Drosophila melanogaster: one gene and its partner. The protein of the gene in region 1 interacts with the protein of each later gene in a pairwise test. Each region holds a gene or a part of one and is shown in the gene's direction. Other genes may lie near its edges.

Evidence for each region. Proteins that work in one complex are often made in the same cells at the same time.
Region 2: the proteins of Cp38 (region 1) and CG7017 interact in a two-hybrid assay, tested with the Drosophila melanogaster proteins (one large-scale study listed by BioGRID).

The regions. Positions count from the first base shown.
Region 1 is NC_004354.4:8,480,313-8,483,871, forward strand, and holds Cp38 (chorion protein 38), read left to right. Parts: upstream 1-1,524; 5' UTR 1,525-1,601; coding exon 1,602-1,646; intron 1,647-1,872; coding exon 1,873-2,748; 3' UTR 2,749-2,999; downstream 3,000-3,559.
Region 2 is NT_037436.4:20,209,761-20,213,940, reverse strand, and holds CG7017 (uncharacterized protein), read left to right. Parts: upstream 1-1,818; 5' UTR 1,819-1,907; coding exon 1,908-1,917; intron 1,918-2,188; coding exon 2,189-3,258; 3' UTR 3,259-3,649; downstream 3,650-4,180.

The DNA.
Region 1 (3,559 bases):
GGGCATGGGTTGCTCCTCAGCTGCGACAGCTGGTTTAATTTAAATTTTTGTTTTTTTTTTTCTTTGCCGAACTACTGAGCGCAAATAAATGAAAAAAAAATACTTGAAACGTAAACGTTTTGTCATCAATTATTTTCGACCGGAAGGGGCTACCTGAGTGGCAATGAAGCACACAGATTAAGCACATATTTATGAATATATAAATATATACGAATGCATGAGAGAACAAAAAATTATATCTAGTTTTCTTCAAAAATAAATAATAAAGGGGAAAATGGTATAAAGTATGAACATAAAATTATGAACGAGTATAAATAAGTTTGTAATTGAAATCTCTACGGTCATACAAGTATTTTAACTATTCTATAAATATGCATAAACATGGTACGCATTTTATGAGATACAATTCGAAAGATATTGGATAGCATTATCATGCATGAAATTATTTCACACTCTTGTGATGGTAGCTATCTTATTCCAGTTATCGTTTAATTGCAAAGAATGGGATCAAAAGGTCATCTTTATCAACATATTGTTGATTCCGGAATGAATAATAAATAATAACATAACTATGAATTAATGGAGCAACTATAATTTTACGGCCTCTTTTCTTTTAAACAAAGAATATAGCACTTTTAATGCATTAAATACGTATTTAAACCTTTTCTTTTGAAACGCCAAATTCATATTAGAGTTTCATAAGATTGTTTTAAAACATAACAACATAATAATTGAAGAATTGGAAATCTTTTTAGGTGTTTGTAAGCCTTTGAATTCCTAATTGGAATAGCTAAAGATCCATATTTCATCTTCAAATCTCTTTGCAACTAGAGATTTATTTTATCTGGCAATTATTAAGTATACATTTTTATATGGTACTTTAAACTGATGGTTTAATCAGTTACATGGATTTTCTAAATTAAAAATGGTCATGTGAAGATAGCCACTCTTCTAACAATCTAATCACATTTATAGTAAGAAATACAATACAATACAATACAATACAATACAATACAATACAATACAATAGAAAGACAATCGAATCTGCGCAATCCGTGTGAAATTCAAGGACTACAGCTGGGTGGCTAATCATTTCCCCCTATCCACTTACACCTCGGATTACCTCTTATTCCGACTCCCGGAGTCTTGTGTCTGCCAATGCGGAACTATTTTCGCTATCTGAACAGACGTTCGGACCTCGATATGCGGCAAAGATTCACAGCCCGGCTGTTGATTCCGATTCGGTGGCAATGTGTTCGTTGTTATTGTAAAACGGGCAATGGCAACTGGGCAGTGGGCAGTGGGGTTTTCGGGTTGTGGCTTCTACGTAAGTGGAAGAGACGCCGTGATATGCGCTGGCAGCGATGCGTGCGATCTATCAACATTTGGCCATGTTTCGTTCGCATCGCGTGGGCCCGGAGCGGAACAGCCGGCACCGGAGTTGGCATCAATCCAAATGTCACGTACCCGGAGCCGGAGACGCGTCCGGAGCATATTTAAAGTAGTCGGCCACCAATGGAGGGCAGCAGAAGACAGCAGACAGTCCAAGCGGGAGCACACCAGAAGCCGAAGAGCAACTGGAACTGCAACTGGGAGACAAGATGACGAGATCGACCTACATTTGGGCGCTGGCCGCCTGCCTGATCGTAAGTGTTCAAGCTCGAAATCTTAGGATTAATCCCAAGAAAACCAAGTCTATCAATTCTGACTGCTTTCGTTTGTGCCATGTAAATCGTACATGAAAAGCAAATTGACTTTCCTTTAAATTACTTGAAACGGAATCAAGCTATCTATCGATGCTAGACTTATTTTAAGTATATGTATATGTCGATCCAATTCTAATCCACCCCCCCCCCCTCAATTTACTTTTAGGCCTGTGCAAGCGCCAACTACGGCAGTTCCCAGGGCTATGGACCCGAGTCCGGAAGCGGTGCCTCCGATGGCGGTGCTGATGCCGCTTCAGCGGCCGCAGCAGCTGCCGGCGGTGCCGGTGGAGCTGGTGGCGAGTACGGTGGTGCTAACGCCGGTGCTGGTGCTCTCGAATCCGGAGCCGATGCCGCCGGTGTGGCACAGGCTGGCCAGAGCAGCTACGGATCCGACCAGAACATTCCGTACAAGCCGGTGAACACCAAGGGTAACACCCTGACCTCATCGATCACCTACCCGCAGAACAAGGGCGAGATCCTCATCCATCGTCCCGCTCCCATCATTGTCAAGCGTCCGCCCACCAAGGTGCTGGTGAACCATCCACCATTGGTGGTTAAGCCCGCTCCCGTGGTGCTCCACAAGCCCCCAGCAATCGTTCTCCGCAAGGTCTACGTCAAGCACCACCCACGTCGCGTCAAGGTTGAGCCCGTGTTCGTCAATGTGGTCAAGCCCCCAGCAGAGAAGTACTTTGTCAACGAGAACAAGCAGGGCTACGGACAGGGCTCGCAGTCCCACGGACACGGCCATGGACACGGTGGCCATGGACACGGACACAGCGGACACGGACACGGTGGACACGGTGCTGGACCCCATGGTCCTGGACCCCATGACGGTGGCCGTGCTCTGCCCGCCTACGCTTCGGGAGCTGATTCCGCTGCCGCCAGCGCTGGCTATCAGCTGCTCCAGAGCGGCAACCAGGGTCTGTCCGCTCTTGCCAACATCGCCGGCGAGCGTGAGGGTCCCTATGGTCCCGCTCCAAGCCATCAGCACTATAGCGCCGGTCCAGCCGGACATGGCGGCTATGCTGCTCCCGCCTATTAGGTAACAGATGCGGAGGAGTTACGGATTGGATGACTGCTGCGGCTCCGGAATCAACTGAAGCGGCTGGTTTAGTCATTCGCTTATCCGGCTGATTAGTTACTATGTTTTTTTTACAAAAAAAAAAAAAAAAAACAGCCTGATCGACCAACGCCCATGCCTACGCCCACGCCCACTCATGCACACCCCAATACCACCCACTCACCCATTCAACGGCCCAGGAGGGGCGTGGCACTCAGGTTTCTTTGCAAAACAAATAAAAAATTTGAACAAAAAAAAAAAAACAATTATACCCAAGCTGAATGTTGTTTTCGATGAAGGGTGAAATCTAGATGCTAGTTATATTTAAATTAAACTATCATTAGATATATACTCTAATTGATAGTTATTGATAGTCTTGCGACTCATTTTAAACTTGATACACTTATAGCATAGACAGTGAGTAATATCATTGATATTATTATATAATTATTGTTACACAAAGTGCATATGATGAGAATCGATTTAATGATGGGAGAACTGACTTACCCGCAACTTTATTCGCAGCAACAAGTGTCGCATATAATAAATACAATAAATCCGAAACGCAGGCTGTCATTACACACATCGTTTGGTTGTCCTTCCCCATTGTTGTGCGTTATGCCAATGGCATCCCACGCAATTGTTCAATAACAAACGGGCGGCAAAATCGGCTATAATGATAGGTAAGGCAAAGAAGAGCTCGGCTGATGACAGGTGGAATCGCAATTTAGGTCGCCCAGTGCCGCCCATTTGGCAGTTTGAAAATTCAGCATAAAAATGCGATACCTTTGCA
Region 2 (4,180 bases), on another chromosome or scaffold:
GTTAAATGACTACTTCAGAGCATACAGTAGGCCTAAGTGTATCATATCAGATAGAGGAGCATGTTTCACGTCTGGCGATTTTGACTCATTTTTGAAAGAATGCAATGTTAAACACATAAAAATTGCAACAGGATCGCCACAAGCCAACGGTCAAGTTGAACGTATAAACCGAAGTCTTGGTCCAATGATTAGCAAGTTAATTGAACCTGATCAAGGTCTACACTGGGACTTAGTCTTAGAAAAGGTCGAATATACCCTGAACAATACACTACACCGCAGCATTAAACAGTATCCTAGCATAATGTTATTTGGGTTACAACAAAAAGGACAAATTATGGATGAGTTAAAAGAAAAAATTGAGGAAATTGGAGAAACGATTGAAGAAAGAGATTTAGAAAGTATTAGAAATAAAGGCGAGGCAAGTCAGAAAATAGCACAAGCATACAATAAAGAATATGTTGACAAAAAACGAAAACGATCAGGAGTGTTCACAAAAGGCGACTACGTCATGGTTAAAAATTTTGACTCAACAACAGGCATAGCTAAGAAGTTAATTCCAAAGCATAAAGGACCCTATGTCATAAGCAAAGTTCTCAAAAATGATCGCTTCCTTCTGGAAGATGTTGATGGATTTCAAATTTCTCGCAATCCTTACCGGGGTGTATGGAGCATACAGAATATAAAACACTGGCAAAGAAAAATTAAGAGTCTACAAAATAGAAAGTATAATTTGAGAAACTCTGTACAAAATAGAAAGTATAATTTGAGAAACTCTGTACAAAATAGAAAGTATAATTTAAGAAACTCTGTACGAAATCGAAAGTATAATTTAAGAAGCAATTGTAAAACAAAGAAAACAAACAAGAAGAAAAGAAAACCAAAAAAATGTTTAAGACCGTTCAAAAGTATCTCCACTAAGAAGAATAAAATAAGAAACAGGACCCTTAGCTTTAAGAAACGTTAATTGTTATAAAATCCTACGATCGGGAGATCTAGTAGTCAGGACGGCCGAGTTGTAGTAGGCTGCTCCTTCTACCCTCTTCCTTTACTCTTAGTCATACATACCTAATTATACATAGCCAATCTAGTCATAAGCTTATACACTCATACACCCATCCTTAACATACAAATATTATCGAGAAACTTATCGACTAATCGACTCGCCACTCTGCAGAGAGCGCGGCAGTCAGTCGCTGTTGAACCAAGCTAAAGGACAGATCAAAAATAAAAGAGACACGTGAAATTGTATTAGAATATTAACTTCTGTAAACGGCGGCTAAAGTATAGTATAGTATATTCTAGTATGGTATCGTATAATATAGCATAGTTATAGGTAACAAAATGATACAAAAAAATAATAATAATATTCAAAGAGACATGACGAAGAGCTCAGTTGACGCAGAAATCGTTCAGCAATTCATTTATTGGTCCGAACTCCGAATTAAGATATTCGATGAGATTGGGAGTTCGGTCTGTAGATGACTATTCCAGCGTTTCTCAGATGTTCGAGAACCGTCAATGGCGCTGAGATCTTGGAGATCTTGGCGTGACATATGCAATTCCCTTATCAATCCGATGCGATACCACCGCCACCACAGGAGTCTGTTCTTCTGCGAAATAGGCAATTCCGATGTTATTGCCGTGTAATTTACATGCGGCCCCGCTATCGTACATCAGTAAATCAAAAATCGAAGAACGAAAAATCAGCGCTATCTTGGAGTTCTGATTGAGATAGCGTGTGCATTTTGGAAATTGTTTTTCGCCGAACAAAACCGAGCAGAATGGCCTTTGCATATTTAAGAGCTCCAGCCTCCGAAGGTGCAGTATCATTTGAGTTGTGAGTGCCGCCAAGATCGCAGCGGGGCGTTCGAGAAACCAGGATACAAGTTAACCAAAGGATATAAAACATGAATAGAGGTAAACTAAAGTGGGACGCCAGCTGAACATTGACAGTGATGGATTTCGTTTGAAAGAATTGCTCTTTAAAAATGTACATATAAATTAAATTCAAACATTAAGTTTTTAAGTTGATAGGGCTTTCTGGCAGAAGGGTAATTTTCGTACCAGCTATCGTAGTTTAAATTTAAAAATTGACTCACATGTTTGGGGTTAATAAATGGTAAAGCACACTGGATATGCCATCCTGTTCCTGACACAATGTTCCCACGATTTTCGATTTTACTTGCAGCTAGCGGTGTCCTGTCGCTGCTGTTTGTGGCCAGCGCCCTGGGCGGCGTGATCGAGGACTTTGAATACCTATCGGTGGCCGAGATGTGCGACCTGCTGCCGCAGGAGACAAGCTTCCTGCGACCGAATACCTGCGACAACTGGGTGCGGTGCGCCAGCAACTACAGCGTGCTGGAGCAGGGCGGCTGTGCCGCAGGACTCAACTACAACAAGGAGCTAGGCCGCTGCATCCTGGCATCCTCCAGCGCCGCGGTGTGTCCCTATGCCGACAGCATTGCGGACAAGGCCACGAACCTGTGCGCCAACGAAACGGAAGGCGCCTTCATCGTGGATCCCAGCAGCAGCGATTGTCGCGGCTACATCTTGTGCAAGTCGCACAAGCAGATCAAGGCCAACTGTCCCAACGAGCTGATCTTCCATCCCGTATCGAGGTCTTGCGTGTACGAAAAGCAGTACCGTTGCCCCATCAGCCAGACGAAGAAGACCAGTCCCGCCTGCCGATCCCTGCCGAACAACACCCGTCTGGCCGATCCCGTCCACTGTGACCAGTACTACGAGTGCGTCAGCGAGGTCTTGCACAGCCGAGCCTGTCCAGTGGCCAGTGCCTACGATGCTAATCTCGGCTACTGCGTGGATGTGGCTGAGGTGTCCTGCTACGAGAGTGCCGCCCTGCCGGAACCGGAAAACACCTTCTGCCTGGACAGTGCCACCGGATCCGCTCGCGTTGGCTACTTTGCCGACGACGAGTCCTGCTCCCACTACTATATCTGTGGCAGCCCCGTCGCCGGCAAGCACGACACGGAGCCCAAGCACCTGAGCTGTCCACTTGGCCAGTACTTCGACTTCGAGAAGCTCTCGTGCCGCGACAGACTTAACGTACGCTGCCAGCTGGACAGGTGTGTGGGCACCAACATCACCTACGTAAACGTCGCCGGCGATTGCCAGAGCTATGGACGTTGCTCCGGCGGAGTGACCGTCAGCCTGGGCCAGTGCCCAACGGGCTACTACTTCGACGAGCGCAACCAGGGATGCACACAGACCAACTACCACAACATCGCATGTTCCGTGTAGGCTGTCCCAGAAGATCGCATCCTTACCACAATCCTTACCAAATCGCATCCAATTTAAATATCCAATAAATCGATCCAATTCATGGTGGAGGTCAAATGCATTGCTTGAAAGGAATTCATGTACTTTGTGGTGGGAAGTGTTAAGTTTTATGACATTCATCCATTTACTTTTTACCATGGAAATGGGTCTACAAATATTAGCTTCTCGAAAAATGTCCAATAAATGTGTTACTCCATTGAAACCTGAAATGTATATATATATAGTTTATCCATTGCATTTGGCTCTATTGTAGTTTTATTCCCTTTCCATTCGAATTTTACCGTCTGCTTCCTCTTTATAGAAGATGTTACCCTAACCTTGAACAATAAAATATGAATTGGTATAAATAATGCTAGAGAAATACTATGATTTTTTGGACTGATTTTTGAACTACATTGGCGGAAATGTTCATTAGCGAAACGAAGTTGGCGTGATAAAATTCTTCTGGCAACCCTTTTGATATCAAAACTGCGCCACACAACGATTCATATTTGGCAATCTGTTTTCGTGACACTTGCAGTGCCCAAAAAATTATCAGTTTTAATTAAAATTGTACCCCAGTGGAGGGTTCGGAGAATTTCAAACCGATTCCAGATAGTCCAGATAATGAATTCGCTACTCGGAGCTGCCGCGATCGCTTATTTCCGTGTTGGCCATCAGGCGAGCAAGAAGTATCCAACGCCCAAGGGTCGTTTTTGTCTATCACTAATTAAATTCAACTATTAGGGTCGATGTTACCCATTAGGTCCACAAATATTGTATGAGTGTGAAATGCAAATGAAATGCATCGACGCGCTTTCGTTCTCCATAGAAATCAATTATGTCCACTTTAAGAAGGAAGTTATACAAGTCCACAGGGCGGATGATTGATTTGTATGTAGGA